Linked DNA regions of Pelodiscus sinensis. The protein of the gene in region 2 purifies or fractionates together with the protein of the main gene of each other region. This does not show direct contact. Links are inferred from orthologs where the notes say so. Each region holds a gene or a part of one and is shown on either strand. Other genes may lie near its edges.

Region 1 (7,882 bases), on a different chromosome or scaffold from region 2:
GAGGCAGGTATAAATATGCAGGCCAGGATCAGGCTGGAGATGACGAGGTGGATCCAATCAAGGAGGATGAGATGAGGCCCACTTCTAGCAGCTGATCTGGAGGTGTGAATTCCAAGAGAGCAGAAGCTGCTTTTGTAGTTAGCAAGCCATTCACAGTCTTTGTTTAATCCAGAGTTGATTGTGTTGACTGTCCTGTTTGGCCGATGTATATAGCAGTGGGGCATTGTTGGCACATGATGGCATATATTACGTTGGTGGATGTGCAGGACATTGTCACTGGTACATTCTCCTGCACATCCACCAACGTAATATATGCCATCATGTGCCAACAATGCCCCACTGCTATATACATCGGCCAAACAGGACAGTCCCTACGTAAAAGAATCAATGGATACAAATCTGATATTAGGAATGGCAACATACAAAAACCTGTAGGGGAACACTTCAGTCTTCCTGGACACACAATTGCAGATCTAAAAGTAGCCATCCTGCAGCAAAAAAACTTCAGGACCAGACTTCAAAGAGAAACTGCTGAGCTACAGTTCATCTTTAAGTTTGACACAATCAACTCTGGATTAAACAAAGACTGTGAATGGCTTGCTAACTACAAAAGCAGCTTCTGCTCTCTTGAAATTCACACCTCCAGATCAGCTGCTAGAAGTGGGCCTCATCTCATCCTCCTTGATTGGATCCACCTCGTCATCTCCAGCCTGATCCTGGCCTGCATATTTATACCTGCCTCTGGAAATTTCCTCTACATGCATCTGACGAAGTGGGTCTTTGCCCACGAAAGCTTATGCTCCTACACTTCAGTTAGTCTATAAGGTGCCACAGGACTCCTCGTCGCTTAAACTATTTCAGGAGACAAACTCTTCAGATTAAGGCCCCATCCTGGAAACGCTTATGCACATTTAGAACTTCACACAAGGTAGCAGTCCAGAAGTCAATAAGATGTGAACGGAATAATGCATATGCTTAAGTGTTTGAACACTCAGGTTTTACAGATATTTGTCCAAGTTTGATCAGTCAATTTACTTCATATAGCAAATATATCAAAGTTGACAGCATCCCTTTAGTAAAAAGCAATCTATATCTTGTATCTTCCACTCTATTGCCCTTTGCTTCTTGCACCCTATTTTCACTTCACAGTGCTTTGTAAATCTATAATTTCACATTGGGATTAGAAAAGACGATATATATGTTATAATGGAAGGACCCAATTATGGTGTGAATTCTAGAAAGGACACCAAATCTTTTATTGACAGATTTTTATATAAGCCTTTCAATCTTATACATATGATTAATAGATTTTATTTGTATGTTAAAGAAAAAAGATGCTAATCTCTTACTATGTATATTTTGAAAATACATAAAATAAACTATGGATTAAGTACTACCTTTAGAGAATCTATTAATACAGACTCAAATACAAGATTTAAATAGGGTTTGTTAGATGTGGCTTTGGGTATTTAAAAAAACACTTAATCATTTAAAATCCATCTTAATTACAATAGCTTATTAAATGATCGCCCTAAAGTATCCACTGAAAGGCAAGTCTGTATGTATTTGTGTACCAGTGGACAACTGAATTGAAAGTGTAAAATACTGCAGTATAAAAGTTGAAAGCTCCTTCAGCAATATCCATAAACAAGTGATGTCATGTCATTATTGACAAATATGATAGAGAGAAAAATATATATTTCATTTAATTAGCAAAATATGATTTTTCTTTGCCTGCAAGGTTGTACACAGAACATAACTAATGTTTCTCCCTGTCTTCTGACCAGAGGGAAGCAAAAACATCTTTGTTGTGACAATTCTATAACAGATGCAACCTAACAGAGTCTACAAAATTCCATATTGTCATCTGCACTATATCAGCAATGGCATTCCAGCAAGTGATAACTAACAATTGTTTGTCCCCAAACAAGGACAATAAACCCAGTCGTTTTCCGGGGAGATCCCTGTTGACTTAGCCAACTTTCTTTTAGTATTATCTTTACTATTCTGCTAAACAAAACATTTAACACACAACACACACACACACACACACACACGCGCACACACACACACACAGAGGTAGGAGAAAGGAACAATAAAAATATTATTCCTTACAGTGAATACACCTCATAAAATAACAAACAAGAATTCTATCTGGGGATTCAGGTTAAGCTAACATTTTTAATAAATGTTGTTAAAAATGGCTGTTTTAATAAACAAAAGCTAATATATTTGTTAGTCTCTAAGGTGCCAAAGGACTACACGTTTTTAAAGATACAGACTAACACAGCTACCCCTCTGATGGTTTATATGATGAAAATTATGAGCCATTTAAAGTCTCTTTTTCATAATTTCCCTCATCCAAATGATCAAGATGGCTTCTATATAGCACAAAAGCCTGCATCCACTATGTGAAATTAGTGCCGGGATCAGACCTCTTCCTAGTCCTGACAATGACCATTCCCCTGCGTCATTCATGATTAGCTCAGGATATGACAGGAGCTTGGGGGGGGGGGGGGGGTTACTGGTGTATTTCTATTTTCACTGACAGACTGCGATAGCCACTCCGCACGTGTCCGTGCTCTGGGAAGGTTCTGAGGCAAACCTGCCTGCCTGGCTCCGCCGGAGGAGAAGAATCCCCCATCCCGCCACTGGCAAGCCACGAACCCCCTTCATGAAAGCAACCGCCTGACTCCACCAACCACCTGCACAAAAACTGTAGCGTTGCCCGCCAGTTCGCCCCTCTCCCCCAACAGCCTCTGGCACGCGCGGCCCCACCGCCTCCTCTCCTGGGTGCCAGCGTGACAGCAGGGCTGGCAAGGGAGGCCAGCCCCGCGCGGGGCGGCAGCGTTACACACCGCCACACCTACCTGGCTTCTCGTGGCCATAGCCCACCACAATGAAATAGTCAGCCAGCCTAGCCATGGCCGAGCCGGGCCCGCCTCGGCCCCCGCCACTACTGAGGCTCTGTTGCCGCTCGGACGCTCAGCATCCTGCCCCCTGCTCCAACAAGAGCAGCACCTCAGCCATGTTGGACGCCCAGGCGCATTATGCGCCTGCGCGCTACCTCAGCCGCTGTGCTATGACCCGGCCTGGGCTGGGCGTGGGCTGCGGGGTTTACAGTTCGCACGCGGCGCGGTGCTGCGGGGCTCTGTTGAGGCTATTGTCAATTTCACACAGGCTGTGGCGGGGTGCAGCGGCTTCCCACCCTGTTTGCATTTGCGAGTACACGCGGCACGAGCAGACCAGTGCATATGTAAAGCTCTCTCCCAAAATAAACGTGCTTGGTCTCGGCGCTTGAACTTGAGCTTGGCTTCTTCCTATTTCAAAGGGTTGCAGGCAGGTAGTTTACCCGTGCACTTCTAGTGCATGCAAAACCAGTCATGTCTCTCTCCAAAATTCCCACCCAAAGATTATGCTCCATAATCTGATAAAGACTGCAACAAGACAACATTGTTCTTTCCTCCTATTTATATTTATTGACGCATTTTTAGTTTAGCTCATGAAAACTACAAAAAAGGTAGCTAAGGGTCTTTCTAAAATATCCTCCCTGACCGAATTCAACACCTAAATATGGGGTTCGGATTTTTTTCTGTTATGAAATGTGCAGTGAAGCACATCGTCCTCTTTGTTTTATATAATATTTTGCAGATGCATGTATAAATTCAGTCTATGCCAAATAAACGCCTTAATAGGAACTATCACAGTATTGCCTTAAAATAGCCTCCCTGAGTAGCTTCTCAAGAATGGAATTTATAGTGACTATGAATTTCCAGGAAGTTTCCTGTTTACATTTTCTTTTGGATGTTAGGAACATGCAACAGTGCGGCAGGAAGCAAGCTTTCCTTAACTGAGTGCAGTTATAATGGCACAGCATTCACCAAGACCTTTAAGTTTTTTCTAGTAACTATATGACTGTTATGCTTAAACTGACTTATCTCTAGCAATAAAGTCAGCAGGGAAATCTGGGAGAAAGTCTGTGTGTATAAGAGAGAAAGGCTATGTCTACACTGCAGAGTTTTTCCAGGATACCAAACTCTGCTGCGTCCAGGGAATGCATCTGCTTTTCCGAATTTTTTTTCGGAAGAGCACACACGCTTTTTTGGCATCCCTGTAAACTTTGTTTTATGAGGAAGAAGGGATGTTCCAAAAAGGGGGGGGGGGCTCTGACATTTGGCCCGGTGTAGATGGGCCAACTGTCAGAAAAGCCTCTTCCGAAAAAAGAAGTAGAAAAGTTTTTCTAGAAGAACAGTGCAGTATAGACATAGCCAGAGAGAGAGAGAGAGAGAGGGGAAGAGAGGGTACGTATACTCAGCAACATTATTTTGAAATAACAGTCCGTGTGTACACAACAGGCCGTTATTTCAAAATAATGGCCAAAATACTGTCAAGCTGGAGGACTTCTTACTCCAACTCCTGTAACCCTCATTCCACAAGGAGTAAGGGAAATCGTAGGAGGAGTGCTTTATTTCAGAATAAGTACTGTGTAGACACTCCCAATTTCGAGATAAGCTATTTCAAAATAAGCTACACAATTGATGTTGCTCAATTTGTGTAGCTTATTTGGAGTTAAACCCAGTTGTGTAGATGCTCCCAGAGAAAGAGAAAGAGAAAGAGAAAGAGAGAACAGGCTGCCTGACTAGGCCTGGCCTAAATGCTATTAACCATATTGGATTGAAATCTTGATGTACCCTGAAATCCTGTTTCCGTACATATTTATTAACAGGTTTTCCAACTGTGCTTTCCTCTCCCACATATGTCACTTTCCATGTGGAGTACAGCTTAGGCACTAGCACCCAAGGAGGAAAAAATCAAGTAGTTATCACTTTAAATCCTCATCAGGAAGGTGTGACTCATGGGCAGTATCTCTTTAATTTAATATTTTTGATCTTCTGCTTACCCATTTCTGTGACACCTTAGCAAAATGCTATTCTTCAAGAGCCTACAGAGCTCATTTACTGTTAAGTGGAAGATTCCAGGATGCTATTTATAGTGTGTAAGTAGGACTGACAACTTTTGATCTTACCCCAAAGCCTAATTGGCCTACTGGGTGATGCAAAGATTTTGCTGAAATGTAGTGTGTCTGACAAGACATTGCTTGATTAACTGGTTGAGTGTATGCCCAAAATAGGCATGTTCAACAGCAGGATAGTTGGATCTGCAGCAGTAAGTGATATGAATCATTGTTCAGTTCAGTTACGTTACCACTGGATTTATTTCTAATCACACCACCATAAATCAGAATATGGAATACAGTAACAAACATATTTTATTTATGAACTTTATTTTCATATGTCAGATATTGAATAACTACACTTTACATTCAGAAGAGGTATAATTAGAAGCAACACTTTTCTAATATAGAACACAATTGTATGGATGATTAAAATCCTCCTGCTTGTTTACTTTCCAGCAGAGGGCAGCAGCTTATATTATTTATGGCAATTAATCATTCCAATATCATGTAGCAAGATTTAGACTTAATAAAATGCAGTGTAAGTGTCAGTAAAAAAGACAACAGTATAAGACGAATCTGTAATATTACATAACTTCTTAGAGAAAAAGAACTTTTGGGGATCTGATTAGATTATTTTGCTTCTCCCTGAGCATTAGAGAAGCAAGAAAAAATTTAAATGATACATTTTAAAAGTAGCGTGCAAGATTTTAGCAGTATCGTCCTCATGGATTTTAATGACTGAAACCAAAAGAGCTGTTTAAAAAATGTAGGGATAAAAAGTCTTAAAATAGTATCCTTTTACTAGTTTGAGATCTTTGGAAGAAAAATATTGCTGAAATAGCAAAAAAGGTATGCTTTAGTTAATCAATCATCTGTGTGAATTGGGATCAATGAGTCCCCACTAAAGTGAAACACAGCAATTGTTTGACCATGCTCAACAAGAATACAGAGCAGCTTTCAACAGTGACAGAATAGTATTCTGTACAATTGAAACTGCAGGGGAAGCTCATACAGACAGAATATAATCACCAAGTTTGGAATTTGACTAGGAGTTTTGGATTAACATTTCTACTTTTACAAAAAAATGCCCTGGAATTATTTTATCAAAACAAATTTGGGAACCTCTACTTCTGCACTTCATTTGAGAGCACACCTCAAAGCAGGTCAGTGTTACATAGGACTTTACTGGGATAATTAATTCAGTGTGCACCTAAGAGAAAAAAATATACTGAGGATTTCACCAACACTGCTACTAACAGTACCTCACTATTTATGCCTCTCCCATCCAAACAGACAAAGCCAAACCTTGGTTAGCTTGCAAAATCTAGTGGGATCACAGCACAGAGTGGCATGACTTAAAAACAGTCAATCAAAAGAAAAAGCACATCTTAATTTTAACTCACCTTGAACTAAACTACCTGGATGGTCACCATCATCATAGTATCTGACCATCTCCCAAATATTTATGGAGTAACCCTCTGTATATCTGTATCATCCAGTAATAGTACCCACTGCAAATGAGGACAAGGGACTAGATAGATAAGATTAGATACTTGCCTGAGGTCATAGAGGAAATCTATAGGAGAGGGAAGAATTGAAACTAATTTTACTGACTCCCTGTCCAACTCCTCAATACTGAGATCATATTTCCTCCTTGGGAGGGAGAGAAACTCATCCTGTTCTTCCTGGATATGAAAAAGAGTTCTCAGGACATTGGGTGGACTTACATTATAGATGGGACATTCCAGATGTTGAATATTATGGAGAAGTCCCAGGCCCTACATTTTCAAAAGTCTCTAAAGATATTTGGGTGCCTCAATTTTTGGATTCTCACCACTTTGTGAAAACCAGATGCCATTATCTCTTGTTAGGCACCTAAAATTCAAGGCACCTACTATCACTAGTCACTTTTGAATATGTTTGCCTTGATTAACTGAAAAGCAATAAACCTAAAAATAAGAGTTCTTCACTTTGATTTTGGCTGGGATTTTACACACTACTTAGTATAGAATACGTACATTAATATCTTTAGTTCAACTTCAAAGCCACTTTAATATGTAATATAACAATTTGCATTTAAATTTAATCATAGTAACATCAAGCCATACTTAAGTGGCAGCTTCCATACTCCTTGCATCCACTGACTTTAAGGGGAAATTTTCTTGCATAAGTCATGTGGAATTTGGCCAAAACTCTATCTTCCCATTGATGCACAGAAATTTTAGAGAAAGTCTCAGGACAATAATGCTACTTAGCACTTTACCTATTCAAAGTGCTGTACGAACACACACTAATCCTCACTATCTCCCTGCAAAGAAGGCATATACTGTTAATCCAATTGTACATACAGGAAAACTGAGATACAGAGAAGTTGAAGTGAGTTGCCCAAGGTCAACAGCAAGTCAGTAACAGATTAAAACTGCATATGTCATAATATGCAGTCTAGAACTCCTTCCTCCAGACCAGCGAGTTTCCCAATTAACAATAGTACTTATGGGAGAATGGACATATCATAGGAAAAAATAATATTTTCTATTGTATTTAATTATGTTGCCTCCAAAATATATTATAAATAATACAGTACTTACAAGGAACTTCCTGTCTCTGTTTTTTATGACGTGCAAGTAACTTGTCTATTTAAGAAATCATTTTCAAAATAAAAAAGGCACTATCACTCTGTGTACAAACCCAGTGCTTACAGCTCACGTTTAAACTCTTTGTGTGTGTGTGTATACTTACTTTCATATCTTTAGTTCAACTTCTAAGTCACTTTAATAGGACACAAGCATGTGAATTCAGAAAACAAGCATATGAAATCAGAAAGTTTTCACGTTAGAACTAAAATCAGCTTTACCTGTCCCAGCCCTTTTCAGAAACTACCCAGATTGATAAAGTGAGTGCCGAGTTTCAATCCCAAGTTAGGCT
Region 2 (7,385 bases):
AATAAGGTTGGGATGTTTCAGCTTGGAAAGAGACAACTAATGGGGATATGGCAGAGGTCTATAAAATCATGACTGGAATAAAATAAATAAATAAATAAAGTGTTATTTACTCTTCATAATTTAAGAACTGGGGTCACCAAATAAATTAATGGGCAGACAGCACATTTAAAACAAACAAAAGGAAATATTTCTTTACACAACACACAGTCAACCTGTGAAACTCTTTGTCAGAAGATGTTGTAAAGGCCAAAACTAGAAGAGGGTTTAAAAAAAAACAAAAAAAACCCCACAAACCTTAGATAGGTTCAAAGAAGATAGATCCATCGATAGCTATTACCCAGGATGGGCATGACTGTAAAAGCATGCTGAAGCTGGGAATGGGTGGCACAGGATAAATTACTTGATGATTAACTGTTCTGTTCATTCCCTCAGACGTATCTGGCATTGGCTACTAGCAGAGAACAGGATACTGAGCTAGACAAACCACTCGTCTGACCAGTATGGCCGTTCTTATACTCTTATGAATCATAGCAATGCTGAATGTTGCTATGACAGGAGGGAGGAGACGCTCTACAAGCACAGTCAAGGCTTGCTTTGATATTCAAGCAGTTGTACATAAAAGCCTCCCCTCTTAATGCCAGGAACTGCAAGGTTCACTATTGGTACCACGATACTGTTCTTCACATATGCATAACATGCCTTCTCCCAGCCTCACTCTAGTATCAAAGGAATATAATTATCTTTGTATTTCTAAACAAAATTACTTTGAACACTATAGGTAAATATTTTTAAATAACCAACTTTTGAATTATCTAAATCCCAAATTGCCATCCTAAACAGTTAAAAGATAATTTCCTCACATGTTCTGATAATGCTAACTGATAAAGGAAATGTTACATTTGCAAGAAAATTCTTCTTTGGTAAGATAGAAGCGGGAGGAACTTCAACCCAAAAACATATTGGGAAGAAATGTATAAGTGCCTGAAAAAAAAGAAGATGCTTCTCACTTCCCCTATGTAAATAAAACACTGCTAATTTAACACAAACAACATGCACTTCACAAAACAGTCTGATCTCAAGCAATCCACTACTGTATTTTATCCAGAAATCAGTCTTGCCTGCAATTCCAAGCCCATCAAGCATGTGTCAAGGTGGAAGGAGAAGAAAAAGAGAGACAACCATTACCACAGCGTAAAACCAACACAAAGCAATTATTGGTTTGGGGGGCTTTTTTTTTTTTTTTTTTTTTTTGCTTGATTCCAGCTACTCACACGGCTCCCATAAGGTTACCTATCAGTTTGTGCATACTAGATTTGTTCATATTGATGTAGCATGCATATGTATTAGAGCTTTTAAAAGCTCTCTCAGATATCACTTACCTAAGGTAAGTTATGTAATAATTTTCCCCCATTTTTTAAGGCATGAAGTACATCACTCAAATTGGATAGTTTTCCATTTGTTTGAGGTTACAATTCCAATCTCCACATTTATGTCACAAATGCAACCTGCTGCACGGAGCACTGCATAAAGCTACAGTGGTGTAAAACAACAGTTTCAATCATTTGGCAAAAACAACAAAATGTCCTGTGGCACCTTAAAAATGAACAGATTTATTTGAGCATGAGCTTTCGTGGGCGAAAACCCACTTCTTCACATGCATCTGCTAAAGTGGATTTTACCCACTAAAGCTTTGCCAATGGTGGACAACCAGTGGCCCACAGGCTGTATGCAGCCCATCAGGGTTCTACGTGCGGCCCATGAGACATTTTGTTTATCACTGATCATGCACAAGGTTGTCAGATTCCATCGGTTTCTAGCCATGTAGGTTTTTCCTACATGTATTACTAAAGCTACAAGCCCGTAAAGCAAGGGCACATGAAGTCAGGCGTGTGCTGATTGCACACAGCATAGTCTGTGAGAGCTGTGTGTTCCCTCTGCATCCAATCAAAGCGCTGCTACGGTTCAATCGGCACATCCTGTACATTCTAGGTAGGCAAGCGCCATTCGCAAAATGACCCTGTCCCGGAAGTAGGGATGTAACAGTGTAGTCGATTAACTGATAAGCAAAACCTTATCGGTTAATGCTATAGACTACATGCATTTCCCCCCTCCCCCATCAGTACATTTTTCAGCAGGCTGGTCAGCAGTCTGGCTTAGTCTTGGCTCAAGCTGGGTCCCAGACCTACCCCCGCTGCGGCTCTGCATTTAAAGTATATTAGGAGCCAGGCAACCGGAGTCAGTTCCGGCACACGCCAGATCCAGGAGTTCAGCTCTCCCCTCCCGCTGGACAGAGATTGCTACCACCGTGCGCTGCTGCCGCTGCATCCGAGGCAGCCGCGCAGGGCGACAGGCAGCCGGTCCCGGAGGGGAGCTGGTTTTTGAACCGGCTCCCCGCTGGGACCAGCTCCCGCCTGGCACCTCCATCAGCACGACGGGGGGCCCCTCCGGAGCGGGGCCGGAGCCCGCGGGCTCTACCGCCGGAACAGGGGGGTAACCGATAAGAATTCAGGAGGGTCGCCTCCTCGCGCCTCACCGATATCGAGCGCCCCTGCGGGAAGGGGGTCCCCACAGTCGGGGGGGGGGAGGTGACGCCGGGCCCCTCGCTCGCCCCACAGAACCCCCCCCCCCATGAGGAGACCCCACCACCTCTGCACTGACTGGCGGGGGGGGGGGTCGTCTCTAGGCGCTACCCCGCCCGGGCCGCTGAGGGGAAGGAGCCGCCCCAGGAGCCCAGCGCGGGGGAGGAGCCGGGGGAGCTGCGGGCGGGTCGCGGGGGGGCTGCTCACCCACCTGTCCAAGGTCTCCACGCTGGGCTGGCGGGGGCCCGCGGCGGCGCCCCCCGGCCCTGCCGGCCGCACGGACCTGCGGGCCGCCCCGCCGAGGCCCTCCAGGGCCGGCCCCGCCGCCGGCCGCTCCATCGCCCCGCCGCGATCCGCCGGGCCCAGGAACTGTCACCTGGCGGCGGCGCTTACCCACAGGCCTCCGCGGCGCCCAGAGGGCGGGGAGCGGCCCGGACGCCCCCCCTCCCCTCACACGGGGCCGCCGGAGCCTGGCCTCGCAGGGGGGAGCCCCCCCTCCGTGTCCAACGCCCCCCCGCGAGCTGAGGGCGCGCAGCCGGGCAGGCCTGGGGCGGGGGCTTGGCCTCGCCGAGCCGGACTGGGCCCCCCACGGGGCAGGGAGGCGGCACGCCCCGCCTGAGGGGGGAGAACGTGGGGTTCCAAAGGGGGGGTCAAGAAACTCCAGGGGGGCGCCAGGCGACCCAGCCCGCCCCCATCCAGCTTTGCTGTCCCCCCCCCCCTTTTTTGCTCAACAAGTGTTGCTGCTATTTTGGGGGGGGGGGGTTCAGAAATCAAAAAGGGGCGGTGATGCCAAAAAGTGTGGGAAGCACTGGGCTAGCACAGCAGCACTGCCCTCAGGCCGGGTACCCACCAGAGAGGGCTTCAGCACTTCCCTTGGAATGCAGGGATCGGATTAGGAAAGGAAACAGGCTCCTTTGTGTTTGGAGAGAAACCCCTCTCCGCGTGGTCATGTATCTCACTTTCAGAAGAGGATTTATTTTGTAATGTAACTAACCTCCCCCTGGAAGGGATAGTCCACAGGCTTTTTATTATTTCTACTGTAGCCTCCTCCCAACATGTCAGCGAGTTTTAACTATGGGGAGTTTGAGGAATGTGGTACAGCTGGATGACAACCCAAAAGATGGGTTTTTTTACTTTGATCCTTTTGCTATTGTGGAGGGGAAGTATACCACGCTTTAGATCAGTATATTGATCTCCTAGTCTGTAACTCATGGGTTCCCAAACTGGGGGGGGCGTGAAGAAAGTCCAGGAGGGCGCAAGGCAACCCAGCCTCCCTCCTCCCCCCCAATCACGTTTTGCTGCCCTGGTCAGTTAGAATCATAGAACCATAGAGCTGGAAGAGACCTCAGAAGGTCACCGAGTCCAGCCCCCTGCTCTAGACAGGACCAATTCCAACTAAATCAACCAGGCCAGGGCTTTGTCAAGCCGAGACTTAAACACCTCTAGGGATGGAGACTCCACTACTTCCCTAGGTAACCCATTCCAGTGCTTCACCACCCTCCTAGTGAAATAGTTTTTCCTAATATCCAACCTGGACTTTTCCCACCACAACTTTGAGACCATTGCTCCTTGTTCTGCCATCTGTCACTACTGAGAACAGCCTTTCTCCATCCTCTTTGGAACCTCCCTTCAGGAAGTTGAAGGCTATCAAATTCCCCCTCTCAGTTCCTTTTTTTTTTTTTTTTTGCTGCTGTTTGGGGGGGGCATAAGGGTTTTTCAGAAATCAAAAAGGAGGGTGTGATGCCAAAAAGTTTGGGAACCACTGAACTGGTGGCATGGTTTTGATTATCAAGCAGATTACAATAAAAGAACGGGTACAGCCAGTTCTTCCTGTAAAGAAGAATTAGGACTGATAAAAAGATGTTCACTAATGGCAGCAGTACATTTCATTTAGCAAGTATTCTAAGGAATCTGTTTAAAAAGTTTGAGTGCATAACATTTTCTCCAAGTAGCCTCCCAATGTCAATAAAAAAGAATAAGGCTTATAAACTTTATCAACTGGAGTTTGAGATGCTCTCAAATTTTACATCTATTTTTAAGGAGCACACACTTTTACCAGTGTTTCTCAACCTTTTTTTTTTTTATTATAAAATATCTCTTACAAAAAATTCTAAGTACCCCAAGTACCTAAAGTTTTCAAACACTTTTTTTTTCTACCATTGCAATACATTTGTTTAAACAACTTAATTGTAGCTGGGTGGGCGATGACATTTTTGGGTGTAAAAAGTACAAAAATAATAAAGCTTAAAATTCAGTTCCCAATATCAGTGGTGTTGACATACCCCCGCCCCCCCAGGCTTCTCGCAAGTACTTCTAAGGGTACTTGTACCACTAGTTGAGAAACACTGCTTTAAACAATAGCATCTTTAGTAATTAGCAAATCTGAGTTACTATGCCAATTATGTGAAAGATAAATTGATTTAATAACCAAATTGGCTGAAAAGTATAAAATCTCTCTAGCAAGATAGATGCATAAAAATCCAGACATCAACATGAAACCTTTTTCTTTCACTCATACATGCAGTTGTATTATTTGATTACAAAGAATTACAAATGTGCTAGAGACCGCATCTGCTATGTCTGAACTGTTACAATGTTTTGCTACGTACCATGCAGCTTAAAAACCCCACATTTTTAGAATTCTGGTTATTTGTAAATAATGTTTTGTTGATCAATGACAATGTGCTCTGCCGTGCTGTACAAAAGCAAGAGTCTGCCTTGAAGAGTTAACTGTCCTAAAAGACAGGTTTCATAGAACAATAAGGGAGTTTTATAATCGGTATACCTGTAACATGATGTTACAAGAATGTGCAACAAGGGCAAAAAGTGAATTTTTAGAAGAGCTATGAATAAGGAGAAGTTGGGACTTGACATAACGGAACTGGGTGCTCATTCTAGGCCCGGGCTGGGCAATGTGTGGTCCACCTAACACTTCGATCCGACCAGCAGATTGCATCTGGCCACTTTCTATTTATATCTTGCAGCCCACGTCATCAAATTTACAAGCAGTGGCTCAGGCAGCAGAATCCTATTTATATGGCTCCTGGCAGGGGACAGAGCCACAGCAACCCATGGCAGCTGCCAGACAACACCCTAGTGGAGGAGGCACATGCCCTTTGTGTGTTTTTAATTCAAAGCCTCTGGCCTAGACAACTCTGGGGAAGAATAGTCCCCAGCCACACCCCCTTCCACCTCAAGTCCTGCCCCTTCCTGGGTGGAGCAGGCCCATAACCACATACCAAAATTCATTAAGTCACCTCCCCTATGAAACGTATTGCCCACACTCCTTTGAAATAGCATGCAAATAGGAATGGGAGAAGGAAACTAACATTTTGGAGCTGGCATGGGTGATCACGGTAGTAACACAGGATACGTATGTGCAGCTTGTTCATCTTTTATATCTAAACCCTGTCTGATGTAAAAGAAAAGAATTTTTCTGAGGTGAGGAAGAAGGGGATTTCCTCACAATGGAGATTTGCTGAAGTCATTTTGGCAGGCACCATGGTGCAGAAACACACAACAATAAAAGACTGTCCAACATTGTTCTTAAAAATGCCTAAAAACTTTCATCTCATTCACCCTCCCTAAACTAAGAGTTTGGCTGGTCTCTCCTAACTACCTTGGCTAAGAAACTGAACCAATTGCTGTGTAGGACCCAATTCTACAATCCACTGCTGTGTCCAGACAGAGCTCCAGTGTTCACCAGCATGCAGTGAACCACAAAATCAGGAGCTAAACATGCAGTTTAAAACAAACAGAAAAAGCTATGTATTAATATCAATCATAGGTTTCATTCCTATATCCAGAGTCATGTTAAGATTAAAAGGTGCACATCTGCTAGAATGAATAGAAGCTTCAAAAAATCAGAAAGGTTCAGTTTTGTATTTAAGATTGCTATTTTAATAGAATTAAAAACAAGTGTTTTATTCTAAATTACTGTCTTCACAAAGAATCCAAGGGAACATATAGCTAACTTACAGGTTTTCAATGAATTTCAGCTCTAGCCATATAAAAATATGCAGTATAAACTGTATTGGCAATATAAATGAATTGTATATATGAAATGAAAACAAATGCCTTTAATACTTTTCATTGTATTGAACAATAGGCTTATCATGTAGTATTTACAAAGTAAAACTAGATTTTCTTAAATCTTCCACACTGTTGAAAGAGATTCTACACCTGTTTGATCCAATCTGTACAATTGTCAAACTGTCAGAAAACCTATTTTTTTTATAAACCATACACAAACAGAAGGCAGTTACACCATAATCTGCATAGTTTTTAAATTATGTTATACTCTGCCATACAGATAAGTGGCAGAGATTAATTTGAGCTTCCTTGTTCATTATATGTTCTGCACCCAATTTATCTTAACATGTCAAGATTTTTAGGAAGAGAGGGGGAGCGGAGAGAGGACGGGAAACGGACCTCAAAGCTGCTGCTCCAGATACATATGCAGAATAATGTACAAGACAGATATGGGGAAGAATGAAATTGACAGGACAAAAATAAGTGGAGATCAGCAACATGTCCTTAGAACACACACAATACAAGCAATATTCTGTATTTCCCTGAAAAAAAAATAGTGCAATTTTCTTAGCATAATATTTACTGTTTCAAATTAAGAGGCGCTTTATTGTTATGCAAAATACTATTTCTAAAATATTCCAATGTTCTCTCAACTATCTGATTTTTATCCAGCTATATGCTTTAAGTTTAGCTTTTGTACCCAAATATTTACACTTTACAAAAACTGCACAATTTCTAATAAACTATATTTTATATACTTACATAAACTTAATT
Region 3 (6,971 bases), on a different chromosome or scaffold from region 2:
CCTGCTTCTTCCCATGAACCAGACCCACCCACAGGCTCATCCTCTTCCACACCTGGCCCCTGATGGCCAGGGCCCATCTGCATTCACTGTCCCATGGCAAGGAGCGCAGCCCCCCGCACTCCCTACCTCCACCACATCCCTAACAGCAACCCCCACAGCCAGCCCACCTCATCCTCTCAGCCATCGCACTCACCCACCCCACCGCAGGCAGCACCCCGTCCCCAGCCGGCCCATCGCCCCCACACTCACCCACCCGCCCACCCTCACCACAGCCCGGGCAGCACCCGCTCCCCAGCCGGCCCATCGCCCCCACACTCACCCACCCACCCTCACCACAGCCCGGGTAGCACCCCCTCCCCAGCCGGCCCATCGCCCCCACACTCACCCACCCACCCTCACCACAGCCCGGGTAGCACCCGCTCCCTAGCCGGCCCATCGCCCCCACACTCACCCACCCACCCTCACCACAGCCCGGGTAGCACCCGCTCCCCAGCCGACCCATCGCCCCCACACTCACCCACCCACCCTCACCACAGCCCGGGTAGCACCCCCTCCCCAGCCGGCCCATCGCCCCCACACCCACCCACCCACCCTCACCACAGCCCGGGTAGCACCCCCTCCCCAGCCGGCCCATCGCCCCCACACTCACCCACCCACCCACCCTCACCACAGCCCGGGTAGCACCCGCTCTCCAGCCGGCCCATCGCCCCCACACTCACCCACCCACCCTCACCACAGCCCGGGTAGCACCCCCTCCCCAGCCGGCCCATCGCCCCCACACCCACCCACCCACCCTCACCACAGCCCGGGTAGCACCCCCTCCCCAGCCGGCCCATCGCCCCCACACTCACCCACCCACCCACCCTCACCACAGCCCGGGTAGCACCCGCTCTCCAGCCGGCCCATCGCCCCCACACTCACCCACCCACCCTCACCACAGCCCGGGTAGCACCCCCTCCCCAGCCGGCCCATCGCCCCCACACCCACTCACCCACCCACCCTCACCACAGCCCGGGTAGCACCCGCTCCCCAGCCGGCCCATCGCCCCCACACCCACTCACCCACCCACCCTCACCACAGCCCGGGTAGCACCCGCTCCCCAGCCGGCCCATCGCCCCCACACCCACCCACCCACCCTCACCACAGCCCGGGTAGCACCCGCTCCCCAGCCGGCCCATCGCCCCCACACCCACCCACCCACCCTCACCACAGCCCAGGCATCAATTTACCTGCCCAGCCTGGCAACACCACTCCGCCCCCCCCACACACACACACACTGCCCCCCCACACACACACACTGCCCCCCCACACACACACTCTGCCCCCCACACACACACACACTGCCCCCCCCACACACACACACTCTGCCCCCCCCACACACACACACTCTGCCCCCCCCACACACACACACTCTGCCCCCCCCACACACACACACTCTGCCCCCCCCACACACACACACTCTGCCCCCCCACACACACACACTCTGCCCCCCCCACACACACACACTCTGCCCCCCCCACACACACTCCCCCCCACACACACACTCTGCCCCCCACACACACACTCTGCCCCCCACACACACTCCCCCCCACACACACACTCTGCCCCCCCCCACACACACTCCCCCCCACACACACACACACTCCCCCCCCCACACACACACTCCCCCCCCCACACACACACTCTGCCCCCCCCCCCACACACACTCTGCCCCCCCCCACACACACTCCCCCCCACACACACACTCCCCCCCACACACACACTCTGCCCCCCACACACACACTCTGCCCCCCCACACACACACTCTGCCCCCCACACACACACACTCTGCCCCCCCCACACACACTCTGCCCCCCCCCCCACACACTCTGCCCCCCCCCACACACACTCCCCCCCACACACACACTCCCCCCCACACACACACTCTGCCCCCCACACACACACTCTGCCCCCCCACACACACACTCTGCCCCCCACACACACACACTCTGCCCCCCCCACACACACTCTGCCCCCCCCCCCACACACTCTGCCCCCCCCACACACACACACTCTGCCCCCCCCACACACTCCCCCCCACACACACACTCTGCCCCCCCCACACACACTCTGCCCCCCCCACACACACTCTGCCCCCCCCACACACACACACACTGCCCCCCCACACACACACACTGCCCCCCCACACACACACTCTGCCCCCCACACACACACACACTGCCCCCCCCACACACACTCTGCCCCCCCCCCCACACACTCTGCCCCCCCCACACACACACACTCTGCCCCCCCCACACTCTGCCCCCCCCACACACACTCTGCCCCCCCCACACACACTCTGCCCCCCCCACACACACTCTGCCCCCCCCACACACACTCTGCCCCCCCCACACACACACACTCTGCCCCCCCCACACACACACACTCTGCCCCCCCACACACACACACTCTGCCCCCCCCACACACACTCCCCCCCACACACACACTCTGCCCCCCCCACACACACTCCCCCCCACACACACTCCCCCCCACACACACACTCTGCCCCCCCCCACACACACTCTGCCCCCCACACACACTCCCCCCCACACACACACTCTGCCCCCCCCCACACACACTCTGCCCCCCACACACACACTCTGCCCCCCCCCACACACACACTCCCCCCCACACACACTCCCCCCCACACACACACTCTGCCCCCCCCCACACACACTCTGCCCCCCACACACACACTCTGCCCCCCACACACACTCCCCCCCACACACACACTCTGCCCCCCCCCACACACACTCCCCCCCACACACACACTCCCCCCCACACACACACACTCTGTCTCCCCCCCCCCCCCCCGGCCCGGCCCGCGCTCACCCCGCTTGTCCAGCTCGTAGCCCACCAGCACGAAGTAATCCGCCAGGCGGGCCATGGCGAGGCCGGGCCGGGCCGGCAGCGGCGAGACGCGGGCGCTGGGGCGGGGCCGCGCGGCTCATAGCCCGGCCGCCCCGGCCGCCCCCACGTCAGAGCCCGCCCGGCGGCGCCGAGCCCCAGCCGCCATCTTCCCTCCGCCGGACCCAGCCCGCACGGACCGCGGGCGCATGCGCGGGGCGGGGCTGAGGGCGGGGGACCGGCCATTGGCCGCCACGCGGCGGGGGCGGGACCAGCTGGGAGGGGGCGCGATTGACCCCTCTCGGCCGGCCTGTACCATGTGGGAGGGGTGTTACCCCAGAGCCCCCTCTCGGCCGGCCTGTACCATGTGGGAGGGGTGTTACCCCAGAGACCCCTCTCGGCCGGCCTGTACCATGTGGGAGGGGTGTTACCCCAGAGACCCCTCTCGGCCGGCCTGTACCATGTGGGAGGGGAGTTACCCCAGAGACCCCTCTCGGCCGGCCTGTACCATGTGGGAGGGGTGTTACCCCAGAGACCCCTCTCGGCCGGCCTGTACCATGTGGGAGGGGAGTTACCCCAGAGACCCCTCTCGGCCGGCCTGTACCATGTGGGAGGGGAGTTACCCCATCGCCCCCCCCCCGGCCAGGCTGTACTGCAGGGGTGTTACTGTTACCCCATCGCCCCCCCCCGGCCAGGCTGTACCGCGGGGGTGTTACTGTTACCCCATCGCCCCCCCCCGGCCAGGCTGTACCGCAGGGGTGTTACTGTTACCCCATCGCCCCCCCCGGCCAGGCTGTACCGCAGGGGTGTTACTGTTACCCCATCGCCCCCCCCCGGCCAGGCTGTACCGCAGGGGTGTTACTGTTACCCCATCGCCCCCCCCCGGCCAGGCTGTACCGCAGGGGTGTTACTGTTACCCCATCGCCCCCCCCGGCCAGGCTGTACTGCAGGGGTGTTACTGTTACCCCATCGCCCCCCCCCGGCCAGGCTGTACCGCAGGGGTGTTACTGTTACCCCATCGCCCCCCCGGCCAGGCTGTACCGCAGGGGTGTTACTGTTACCCCATCGCCCCCCCGGCCAGGCTGTACCGTAGGGGTGTTACTGTTACCCCATCGCCCCCCCCCGGCCAGGCTGTACCGCAGGGGTGTTACTGTTACCCCATCGCCCCCCCCCGGCCAGGCTGTACCGCAGGGGTGTTACTGTTACCCCATCGCCCCCCCGGCCAGGCTGTACCGTAGGGGTGTTACTGTTACCCCATCGCCCCCCCCCCGGCCAGGCTGTACCGCAGGGGTGTTACTGTTACCCCATCGCCCCCCCCGGCCAGGCTGTACCGCAGGGGTGTTACTGTTACCCCATCGCCCCCCCCCCCCGGCCAGGCTGTACCGCAGGGGTGTTACTGTTACCCCATCGCCCCCCCCGGCCAGGCTGTACCGCGGGGGTGTTACTGTTACCCCATCGCCCCCCCCGGCCAGGCTGTACCGCAGGGGTGTTACTGTTACCCCATCGCCCCCCCCCGGCCAGGCTGTACCGCGGGGGTGTTACTGTTACCCCATCGCCCCCCCCGGCCAGGCTGTACCGCAGGGGTGTTACTGTTACCCCATCGCCCCCCCCCGGCCAGGCTGTACCGCGGGGGTGTTACTGTTACCCCATCGCCCCCCCCGGCCAGGCTGTACCGCAGGGGTGTTACTGTTACCCCATCGCCCCCCCCCGGCCAGGCTGTACCGCGGGGGTGTTACTGTTACCCCATCGCCCCCCCCCGGCCAGGCTGTACCGCGGGGGTGTTACTGTTACCCCATCGCCCCCCCCGGCCAGGCTGTACCGCAGGGGTGTTACTGTTACCCCATCGCCCCCCCCGGCCAGGCTGTACCGCAGGGGTGTTACTGTTACCCCATCGCCCCCCCCCCCGGCCAGGCTGTACCGCAGGGGTGTTACTGTTACCCCATCGCCCCCCCGGCCAGGCTGTACTGCAGGGGTGTTACTGTTACCCCATCGCCCCCCCCCCCGGCCAGGCTGTACTGCAGGGGTGTTACTGTTACCCCATCGCCCCCCCCCCGGCCAGGCTGTACCGCAGGGGTGTTACTGTTACCCCATCGCCCCCCCCCCCGGCCAGGCTGTACCGCAGGGGTGTTACTGTTACCCCATCGCCCTCCCCCGGCCAGGCTGTACCGCAGGGGTGTTACTGTTACCCCATCGCCCCCCCCCGGCCAGGCTGTACCGCAGGGGTGTTACTGTTACCCCATCGCCCCCCCCCCCGGCCAGGCTGTACTGCAGGGGTGTTACTGTTACCCCATCGCCCCCCCCCGGCCAGGCTGTACCGCAGGGGTGTTACTGTTACCCCATCGCCCCCCCCCCGGCCAGGCTGTACTGCAGGGGTGTTACTGTTACCCCATCGCCCCCCCCCCCGGCCAGGCTGTACCGCAGGGGTGTTACTGTTACCCCATCGCCCCCCCCCCCCGGCCAGGCTGTACTGCAGGGGTGTTACTGTTACCCCATCGCCCCCCCCCCCGGCCAGGCTGTACTGCAGGGGTGTTACTGTTACCCCATCGCCCCCCCGGCCAGGCTGTACCGCAGGGGTGTTACTGTTACCCCATCGCCCCCCCCCGGCCGGGCTGTACCGCAGGGGTGTTACTGTTACCCCATCGCCCCCCCCGGCCAGGCTGTACCGCAGGGGTGTTACTGTTACCCCATCGCCCCCCCCCCCCGGCCAGGCTGTACTGCAGGGGTGTTACTGTTACCCCATCGCCCCCCCCCCGGCCAGGCTGTACTGCAGGGGTGTTACTGTTACCCCATCGCCCCCCCGGCCAGGCTGTACCGCAGGGGTGTTACTGTTACCCCATCGCCCCCCCCCGGCCGGGCTGTACCGCAGGGGTGTTACTGTTACCCCATCGCCCCCCCCGGCCAGGCTGTACCGCAGGGGTGTTACTGTTACCCCATCGCCCCCCCCCCCGGCCAGGCTGTACCGCAGGGGTGTTACTGTTACCCCATCGCCCCCCCGGCCAGGCTGTACCGCAGGGGTGTTACTGTTACCCCATCGCCCCCCCCGGCCGGGCTGTACCGCAGGGGTGTTACTGTTACCCCATCGCCCCCCCCCCGGCCAGGCTGTACCGCAGGGGTGTTACTGTTACCCCATCGCCCCCCCGGCCAGGCTGTACTGCGGGGGTGTTACTGTTACCCCATCGCCCCCCCCGGCCAGGCTGTACCGCAGGGGTGTTACTGTTACCCCATCGCCCCCCCCCGGCCAGGCTGTACCGCAGGGGTGTTACTGTTACCCCATCGCCCCCCCCGGCCGGGCTGTACCGCAGGGGTGTTACTGTTACCCCATCGCCCCCCCCCCGGCCAGGCTGTACCGCAGGGGTGTTACTGTTATCCCATCGCCCCCCCCCCGGCCAGGCTGTACCGCAGGGGTGTTACTGTTACCCCATCGCCCCCCCCCCGGCCAGGCTGTACCGCAGGGGTGTTACTGTTACCCCATCGCCCCCCCCCCCGGCCAGGCTGTACCGCAGGGGTGTTACTGTTACCCCATCGCCCCCCCCGGCCGGGCTGTACCGCAGGGGTGTTACTGTTACCCCCATCGCCCCCCCCGGCCAGGCTGTACCGCAGGGGTGTTACTGTTACCCCATCGCCCTCCCCCGGCCAGGCTGTACCGCAGGGGTGTTACTGTTACCCCATCGCCCCCCTGGGCCAGGCTGTACCGCAGGGGTGTTACTGTTACCCCATCGCCCCCCCCCCCGGCCAGGCTGTACCGCAGGGGTGTTACTGTTACCCCATCGCCCCCCCGGCCAGGCTGTACCGCAGGGGTGTTACTGTTACCCCATCGCCCCCCCCGGCCAGGCTGTACCGCAGGGGTGTTACTGTTACCCCATCGCCCCCCCCGGCCAGGCTGTACCGCAGGGGTGTTACTGTTACCCCATCGCCCCCCCCGGCCAGGCTGTACCGCAGGGGTGTTACTGTTACCCCATCGCCCTCCCCCGGCCAGGCTGTACCGCAGGGGTGTTACTGTTACCCCATCGCCCCCCCCCCCCGGCCAGGCTGTACTGCAGGGGTGTTACTGTTACCCCATCGCCCCCCCCCCGGCCAGGCTGTAC

What was found.
Region 1: the proteins of MTMR1 (region 2) and SBF2 purify together in Homo sapiens (affinity purification with mass spectrometry; 3 studies listed by BioGRID and IntAct, with this or other methods). This does not show direct contact. The link is inferred for Pelodiscus sinensis from reciprocal best matches to the Homo sapiens genes MTMR1 and SBF2.
Region 3: the proteins of MTMR1 (region 2) and SBF1 purify together in Homo sapiens (affinity purification with mass spectrometry; 4 studies listed by BioGRID and IntAct, with this or other methods). This does not show direct contact. The link is inferred for Pelodiscus sinensis from reciprocal best matches to the Homo sapiens genes MTMR1 and SBF1.

Annotation. Positions count from the first base shown.
Region 1 is NC_134714.1:105,401,491-105,409,372, reverse strand, and holds the start of SBF2 (myotubularin-related protein 13), read right to left. Parts: upstream 3,075-7,882; 5' UTR 2,926-3,074; coding exon 2,871-2,925; intron 1-2,870. UniProt on the Homo sapiens protein: Guanine nucleotide exchange factor (GEF) which activates RAB21 and possibly RAB28. Promotes the exchange of GDP to GTP, converting inactive GDP-bound Rab proteins into their active GTP-bound form.
Region 2 is NC_134723.1:42,197,571-42,204,955, reverse strand, and holds the start of MTMR1 (phosphatidylinositol-3-phosphate phosphatase MTMR1), read right to left. Parts: upstream 3,061-7,385; 5' UTR 2,919-3,060; coding exon 2,791-2,918; intron 1-2,790. UniProt on the Homo sapiens protein: Lipid phosphatase that specifically dephosphorylates the D-3 position of phosphatidylinositol 3-phosphate, generating phosphatidylinositol. Could also dephosphorylate phosphatidylinositol 3,5-bisphosphate to produce phosphatidylinositol 5-phosphate.
Region 3 is NC_134711.1:939,142-946,112, forward strand, and holds the start of SBF1 (myotubularin-related protein 5), read right to left. Parts: upstream 3,090-6,971; 5' UTR 2,927-3,089; coding exon 2,872-2,926; intron 1-2,871. UniProt on the Homo sapiens protein: Acts as an adapter for the phosphatase MTMR2 to regulate MTMR2 catalytic activity and subcellular location. Promotes the exchange of GDP to GTP, converting inactive GDP-bound Rab proteins into their active GTP-bound form.